Linked DNA regions of Coturnix japonica. The protein of the gene in region 2 purifies or fractionates together with the protein of the main gene of each other region. This does not show direct contact. Links are inferred from orthologs where the notes say so. Each region holds a gene or a part of one and is shown on either strand. Other genes may lie near its edges.

What was found. The genes of interacting proteins can lie anywhere in the genome.
Region 1: the proteins of DNAJA1 (region 2) and ENDOG purify together in Homo sapiens (affinity purification with mass spectrometry; 3 studies listed by BioGRID and IntAct, counting the BioPlex papers as one, with this or other methods). This does not show direct contact. The link is inferred for Coturnix japonica from reciprocal best matches to the Homo sapiens genes DNAJA1 and ENDOG.

The regions. Positions count from the first base shown.
Region 1 is NC_029532.1:3,987,277-3,991,546, reverse strand, and holds ENDOG (endonuclease G, mitochondrial), read right to left. Parts: upstream 2,807-4,270; 5' UTR 2,695-2,806; coding exon 2,188-2,694; intron 2,007-2,187; coding exon 1,897-2,006; intron 1,211-1,896; coding exon 925-1,210; 3' UTR 520-924; downstream 1-519. UniProt on the Homo sapiens protein: Endonuclease that preferentially catalyzes the cleavage of double-stranded 5-hydroxymethylcytosine (5hmC)-modified DNA.
Region 2 is NC_029547.1:62,426,488-62,430,806, reverse strand, and holds the start of DNAJA1 (dnaJ homolog subfamily A member 1), read right to left. Parts: upstream 2,830-4,319; 5' UTR 2,741-2,829; coding exon 2,609-2,740; intron 2,527-2,608; coding exon 2,349-2,526; intron 1,087-2,348; coding exon 982-1,086; intron 869-981; coding exon 641-868; intron 1-640. Other genes in the region: APTX (aprataxin), read left to right, coding at 3,104-3,233, 3,456-3,502.

The sequences.
Region 1 (4,270 bases), on a different chromosome or scaffold from region 2:
CTGTTGCTATTCAAACACAGAGAATCACTCCAGGAACCAGCCCTGGGGAAGCTGAAGACACAAAGTGACTAAAGTTGGCAGCGCTGCTCAACCAAGTCTCCAGCATCTCTGGACCATTCAGCTGCAACATCCAGCTAAAAGCTGGTCAGCAAACTGACTGTCAGCTATTCAGATGCCTTCGGTAGAGAATAAAACAGTACCAAACCTCTGCTTCCTTCAAACTCCCCATGTTTTGTGTGGAAGGCGAGCAGTCAGCATCCAGGTAGCTGACTGCATCCAGGGAGCTCACATTCTCAGTGCCCCTGCAGCAATGCAGCCCTCAAGCTTCAAAAGTAATAATTTAATCCTTGTGTCAAGCACGTGTTCCTGTCACACTGTTAGTCTGACTCCCCAGATCCCCTCAACTCCAAGGCTTCATCCTTCCCAAGGCAGGAAGGGCTGGAGCTGCCTTTATCTTGACAGGAAGGGGGAAGGACATTCAAAGGCTTTGGTAAGAGCAGATAAGAAAATGACCAATCCTTGGTGCTTTCAAAGCTTTACTGCTAAAACCATTTCGTGAAAATTATAAGCAGAAATGGAAGGACCTTTCATTCCTCTCACAGTACCCGGCTTGCTCCCATCCTTCCCTCTAAGTACAGAAATTAATGCCCCTATGTGTCATAATGTGCCACGCACAAAGGGAGTGATTACAGTAACACCCACAGTACTGCAGCTTAGGGGCAAAGTGCAGAGCACAAGGACCCATCAAGGACTCCGAAGCCTTCCCTACAGCCTGTCCTTAGGACACGCTTCACTGTGTTTCACTGTTAATGAAACTGGGGAAGGGGTCGAGAGAAACACCCCTCTCTTATTTCTCACACCTTAAAATACACAAGGGAACATTCCGTGGGCCCCCACTGCTACCTGGATCTGGTTGGTCACAGTTCATCGCTTGTTTCCAGCTGTGATGGCTTTCAAGCTGCTTGTTCTCTTCAAGATGTTTGGGACAAAGAGCAGCCCTGAGGCTCGCTCAATGCTCTCAATGGGAACCAGGAAACGTTCAAGTGGGATTTTCTCATCCACGGGGCTGTTGGGCATCACATAGGAGCGCAACTCAATTTCTCCACTCTCCTTTTCCAGGATGAGCACCTTGAAGAAATGGGTGGGGACGGCCACGTTGTTCTTCCCAATCACCTGGTACTTGACGTACATCTTCCCATCAGCCTCCATCCTGCACCAAGAGCAACATCCAACGTTACCTCCTATGCTGATGTCACTTCCACCCTACTCAGCTCTTTAACACTACCCTTCTGCAAGCCCCCACCTCAGCATGACATCTGTAGTGCAGATGTAACAAATATTGCTGTACAGAGGCTGGGGGACATGGGGAAGGTGAGCTTACATTGGTTCTGCTCCTCCCAGACCCCTCCTTCACCATCTCCCCTTTTACATTAGGAGGTAAGAAAAGGCTGTTCAGAGAACTCAGCTTATCAAACTGCTCTTCATGCTCCCACATAAATATCATTGCAGGTAAAGTCATGCTCTAAGTGGACAAACAGTCCATGAAATGAAACCCAGGAGCTTTATTCCGCAGGGAGGTGTGCAGTTTAATCTGTTCATTCAATGCCCTACTAATCCAACACTGCTTAGACTAAAAACTGTAAACCAAAGTGACTGGACTGTTTTGCATCTCAGGAAACACACCCTTTGTACTCCCCAAATAACTGACTGAATAAGAAACACTGAAAATAATCGCAATGCTAAGAAAATACCCTCCTGCAGAAACCCTGCAGCCTGCTGCTCTCACTGGGGGTCTGGGCTGTTCACTCCTGGTTTGGGGCAGCTGCAGCCCTCAGCCTGTTTTACCTTCCCAGCACAACATCCTCATTGTGGTCCCACCTGGCTCCTGGTGTTTACCTGGGCAGGTACAGAGGTCCTGTGCAGACATAGACGTTCTTGTTGTTTCTCGCCAAGCTCCTGCTGTATTTCTCAAGGTTATTCCAGGCATTTTGGTTTAAATGAGGCACCTACAAACACAAAGATGGTGACATGGACACTTCCTTATTGCTCAGGGCTATTCTAACACATCTGTAACACTCCCAGAGCACTGAAGGTGCTGTGAGATGAGCTGACCCCCACCCTGGAGCCATGGTTTGCATGTGGAGGAACAGAACCCATAAGCCACACCATGAGTGCTGTGAGCCCTACCTGGGGAGCGACATTACTGAGATAGAAGGTGTCCCTCATGGCCTTCTGGCTCCACTTGTGGTTGGCGGCAGCAGCCAGGTGGCCGCGGTCGAACCCGCTGCCCCGATAGTCGGCGTTGGTGGCTCGGTGATACTCGTGCACCGAATCGTCCTCCTGGAAGTCGCAGCTGGATCGATCCGAGGTTCCGCTCAGCGTCTCCTTGTTGAGCTGCTCGATGACCCACAGCGCGCTGCGGCTCCGCGGGTCGTAGCACAGCACGTAGGACTCGCGGCTCCGCAGCTGCGCCAACCCGGGCAGCCCGTACTTGGTCAGCTCGGTCCGTGCCGGTTCTATAGGGGCTGGAGCGCTCGAGTCCGCCGACACCACCGGCACCACGGGCAGGCGGCACAGCAGCCCCGGCACCTCCGTGTCCGCAGCACCGCGCTGCCAGCGGGCGGACAGTGCTGCACCCAGCCCTGCGCCCACGGCCAGGGACGCACCGGGCAGCAGCCAGCGGCCCCACAGCATGGCACCGAGCACAGAACGGCCCTAAACACGGCCCCAAACACAGACCGGCCCCAAATACAGACCGGCCCCAAACACAGCCCCAAACACAGCCCCAAGCACAGCCCGGCCCTAAACCAGCCCGGCCCCAAACACGGCCGCTTCCTGCTGCAGAGCCGCTCTCTTCCGGCACAGACCATCGCCCCTTAAAGGGCTCCTAGGGAAGCACAGCCTGTAGCAGTGTGCAAAGAAACCATTTTATTTGGACAACTCAACAACAGCGTTAAATCAGAGACGCGGAGGGTCTCATAATAAGGGGTTAAAGTACAAAAGGAAAGAGCAGAAGTTGAGCAGGCAGCGCTGCAGGACTCGCACTGATCACTGCATACATGGGGCAATGGAGCCAGCACAGCTCAGGCCCCAAATGCCCTGAGGAAGGTTGAGCTTCGCCCCGAGCACAGCCTGAATGCCCACATGCAGCTGCCTGCTGAGCTAAAGGGAGCTTTATAAAAATAGTGTTTAAAAAGAAGCATAAAAGTCGTCTCAGAGTGATGAAGTGTTTTTCCTCTCTAGACCCTGTTCTGGTGATTCTTTCCAGCCAAGGTAAAAACAAAAGCACAAGTAAGTGTTATTCCGATGTACCACCCAGTGAGCTCCTCAACCTGCTGGGAAAGGAAGGACGCAAAGTGGTGGGATCCAATCTCTGACATGAGGAAAAAACCCTCTGCTTAACCACAGAATCACCAAACCACCTTCTGGCCTTCAGCCCTCACTGCCCAAGGATGAACAACTGTGTTAGGTCACAGAACTCAAACAACCTGTGCTCTGTGTGACCATCATCACAGACTCCATCTCCTCTGTCCTCTCCTTTCCACCTCCTCACCAAAGCCAAACTTCCAGACGTCCAGGCTACAGTAAGGGGAAGGCAGCAGCCCTCCTGCAGGGCGGAGAAGCAGGACCACAGCTTCCTGAACTCAAACAAAGGCAAGTAAAATCATTGTCACCAACAGCTTTTGAGGAATGAAGGCATGGAAACTAATGAGGAGATTCAGAAGCTGGTGACAGGACTTTTTCTCCCCTCCATCTTTGCTCTTAAAGAAACGAAGCCTCAGAAGAATGAACATCACTGCCAAGTAGAGCAGCTCCTTCAAAGCCCTTTGCAGCAGCAGAATAAAGGCCTACACACAGGAGGGGCTGAGGAGAGACGTACAACAGCTCTTCATGTAGGATTCAGCCTGCTGGGGCGCATCAAAGTTGTTATGAGTTCTCCCCAGTAAACTCCAATTAACAGAGGCCCACCTGGATAAAGCTGCAGAATGTATCCCACAAAACCCTTCCAGCAGCCAAAGCTCTCATCCCACTGCAAAATCCTTTTCAAAGTGCTCCCCATCACCCTCCCCAAAGAGAACAGCACAACATAAGCCCTGTGACACCTTGAAAGGAGGAGGTGGCTGTCACTGCAGTGCTGCAGAGCATCCACACGCTGGGGTCCTCCCGCAGTGGCCAAGTCATAAGAATTGTGGTTATTCAGAGTGGGAACCCTCACTGATGCTCACCCAGCAGAGAGCAAACATAAAGGAAGCACTTCTATGCAGCATGA
Region 2 (4,319 bases):
CTAGCACAGTTTGTCAGAAAAGCTGCACTACTCCCAAGATTTGTCCATCCAACTTCTGGAAATCCCCAGGGGAAAAGTATTTGTCACACTCAACACACTGCATTCTCCCACCACCGTGAGGGTTCATATATTAAATTACATTTTGCCAGGCAAATATCAGCTATGCTGAGCAGTACTGTAGGGGTTGCATTGCAAACAGTTCCAAGCATTACAGGCTTAGCACCATCTTTGCACCCAATTACTGTAGCAGACCTGGTTCCCCTTCACACTGAAACACAGTAGAAGTGATCGGAGTCTGCATAGTTTCCCGACACACAGAAAACTCATTGCGAAAGCTGAACCAAGTGACATGTTTACCTGATCACAACTTGCACTTACAGAACAGCACCAGATAAAAATAATTCACTACTTACAATATTGCACATTTCTCCATTTGTTATTCACTATGCACACAAAAAATTAACATAGCGCAAACATTCCCTAAACACAGGTCTACTGTTGAAGACGGTAAAAGTCTAGTCCATTGTTTTCAAGGGTGCCACTCACCAAGCTGACACTACGCATTTGTTAATGTTTAAGAACTACAAAGGCAGCGTCAGTACAACCAAGGTTAACCCTGCATCTTACCAAGTCACCTCACCTTTGTCAATGTGCACTTCTAGTATTTTCTTCTCCCTAACAATTTTCCTGCCGTTGCAGCTCTTGCAGCGGTCCTTGGGGCTGATGCGCTCTCCATGCCCCTGGCACTCCATACACACAGACTGGATTTGCTGCACCATGCCCGGCCCAATCTGGTGAATTCTGATTTGCATGCCTGTCCCTCTGCAGTTCGGGCAGCATTCTACTGCACCCTTCTTACCACCACGACCTGGAGAGAAAAATCAGAGATGGGTAACAGAGATCTCTCATTGCTTCTGGCAATGCATAAGTTAATTCTGCATCTCCAGAGAGAAGGAATTATAGTCAACATTTCACAGTTACCTTCACATTTGTCACATATAACATTCTTCTGCAGTGCAAGTTTTCTTGTTGCACCATTGTACATATCTTCTAAACTCACTGATAACTGATGGACCACATTTTTGCCTGTGAAAGAAAACATTTACTTTAGTTTGCAAATGGACTCAAAGTAACAGTACAATTTCCATATCATGCTAAAACAAGCTTCTGTAGCCTTTAACATCTTGTTTCACAGTTCTCTCACTACTTGTATTAGTCAGTTTCCCAGTTGTACTGTAGTTAGGTAAGGGTTCTAAAGGCATTAACACCTCTCTATTAGAAGAAATCTGACTCACGTCTGAGGGAACACACAATAGATGTAACAGAAGTGTGAAACACTACATTTTACTTCCAGATTCAAAACTTCTGCTTTAACTGAAGTTCTTCTACAAGGAAGTGGGAGGCACAACCTAAAGCCAGTTAGGCTTTTTCTGTCTCTCATGAAGGGACTTCTGGAAACTAATCTGAGTAACTACACTTCTACAATCAGGAATTCATTAGAATTTTAGGAACAAGGGAACCAGTTCAGGGAAGTACAGCAAGTTCTATCTTACTAAGAATACTCTGATACAGCCTTTTAAATTCCCTTTGTCCCACTAGGAAGAGAAGTGCTGTGGCCAGTGCTGCTTTTAAGCAGTTTAATTAACATCAGCCTTCCCTTATGCTACCTCTAGATTTTAACTTTTGAGCAGAACATTACTGCAGCTGCACTCAATCCAGTTCAACTAAATATCACAAGAAGGCTTCAGAGTCAAAGTAACTTGGTTATCTTATTTAGATAAAGCCACAGAATCACAGAATGACCCGGGTTGGAAGGGACCTCAAGGATCATGTAGTTCCAACCCCCTGCCTGGCAGGGCCACCAAACACACACATTTACTAGATCAGGTTGCCCAGGGCCCCGTCCAACCTGGGGCCACTTACAATGTAAGATCAACTTCCATTTTGATATCGTGGCACCTTACTTAGCACTTACTTTAAGGCTTGTTACTCCTGCGTTTCCTACTCAGTAACAAAAGCTAGGCAACCATTCAGCCAAAGCTTTCCAAGCACAAAGCCCGGTTAGAGACCAACACAAAGCACGGCTTCAAACATTGCACTATGCAACTACCCTCCCCTTGTTTGCTTCGCGCGTTAAGGGACGGCACTTCGGCCGCTTGCACAGATCGGATCCTTAAGGTAAGGAAGCTCACTAAGCCGCACCCCCCACTCAGCTCATTAACCACGGCCTTCAGCGCTACATCTCGCGTTCCCTGAGCAGCCCTCCACCCCCAGGCTGCCTACGGGAACATCCTAAGAACAGCAGAACTGCTCTGCGGGCCCGGGATGGGGTCAGAAGCCGCTCATACCTCTCCTCTCCCTCTGCATCCTCCCACCGCCGCCGAAGAACATGTCGAAAATATCCATGGGGGACCCGAAGCCGCCTCCCGATCCGCCCTCCTTGATGGCCTGCTCGCCGCCCTTGTTGTACAGGTCCCTCTTCTTGGGGTCGGACAGCACCTCATAGGCCTGTGAGATCTGTTTGAACTGCGGGATGGACACACACACACCTCAGACACCCCGCGGTCCCGCCGCTCCCGGCCCTCATTCCCTGCCGCCCCTCACCCACCTTCTCTCCCTCATTGGGGTTCTTATCGGGGTGGTACTTCAGGGCCAGCTTGCGGTACGCCTTCTTCAGCTCCTCAGCCGAGGCGTTGGGGCTGACGCCCAGCACATCGTAGTACCTGGTCTCCTTCACCATGTTGGGCCCTCACTGCCCGCTCTGCCCACACAGCCCCGCTCCGCTCCCGACTCTTCTGGAAAGTTCGGAGCCGGGCCGTATCCGGCGCTTTTGAGACGGCGCCGCCCCGCCCCGGAAGTCAGCTTCAAGAGAGGAACAACCAATAGGAGAAGGAGGCGGAGCGCGCTAAGCCAATCAGCGCCTTCAGCCTCAGCGAGGCCCCGCCCACTCAGGCAGAAGGACTCGAGACGGGAGCGCGCATGCGTCCTTGGCGGAGGTTGTGCGGGGTCGTGCGCGGTGTAGGCCGCGTTGCCATGGTGCGGCCCGCGATGGCGGGCGGCGCGGCCCGGTAACGCGGTGTGTGCTCGGCTCCACAGCGCGGCCATGAGGGACTGCTGGCTGCTGGCCATGGAGGAGCGAGGCCTACGGGTGCTGCTGCCCCACATGGCCGACGTGGTGCTGGGCCGCGGGCCGCTCACAGGCATCACCGACAGGAGGTGCTCGCGGCGGCAAGGTAAGGCCGCGCCTCCCGGCTGCTGCAGCGAGCATAAGGGGGGGGGGGAGTGCTGTCATGTCAGCTTCATCCTTGTGTGTTGTTGCTTAGGACGTGGGTGATGAGGCAGAGCTCTTCTCTCTGCCGCAAGGCTGAGGGTGCACGAGTGTTTTCCCCAAGGGCTGGGTGGGTGGATTTCAGGCCTTTCTTTTCACGGCTTTTCATGACTTTTTGTTCTTTCAGTTGTGTTGAAAGCAGACTGTAACGAGGGATATGTTACTGTTAAGCAGGTATGTTTTTAAGCGGTTTCTTAGTGTTTCTAATGCTTACTGGCCTGTTATGCTTGAAGTCCACTAATACTGCGAATTACAGATCTCATCCTAGATTATGAAGTCCTGGAGCTATTTTGTGGCCATCAGGAGTTCATCAGATGGTCACAGAATCACAGAATGACCCGGGTTGGAAGGGACCTCAAGGATCATGTAGTTCCAACCCCCTGCCTGGCAGGGCCACCAAACATACACCTTTACTAGATCAGGTTGCCCAGGGCCCCGTCCAACCTGGTCTTGAACACCTCCAAGGACGGCGGCATCCACAAACCTCCCTGGGCAGCCTGTTCCAGGGCCTAACCACTCTCCTAGTGAAGAACTTCCCCCTAACATCCAACCTAAATCTTCCCTCTTTTAACTTATAACCATTTCCCCGTGTCCTGCTATTGTCAGCCCTTTCAAAGAGTTTACTCCCCTCCTGGGTGTGGGTTCCCTTCAGGTACTGAAAGGCTGCAATGAGGTCACCCTGCAACCTTCTCTTCTCTAGGCTGAACAAACCCAATTCCCTCAGCCTGTCCTCATAGGGGAGATGCTCCAGCCCCCTGATCATCTTCGTCAGAAAGTCCTCAGAAAGGGTCTGTTTTCCATTTGTACCTCAATGCAGGAGCGCACAGCTGTATTGCTGTCCTGCAATGTGACATGTGCTTTGTTTGACTGAAACTGGCACTGTAGGATGAGGAGGCTTTGGCTAGGATTGGGCAGTCACTCCATCAGATTGAAGATGAGGTGATGAGAAGCATAGTGATGTCTTGTGAAACAAGCATGTTTATGACCGACA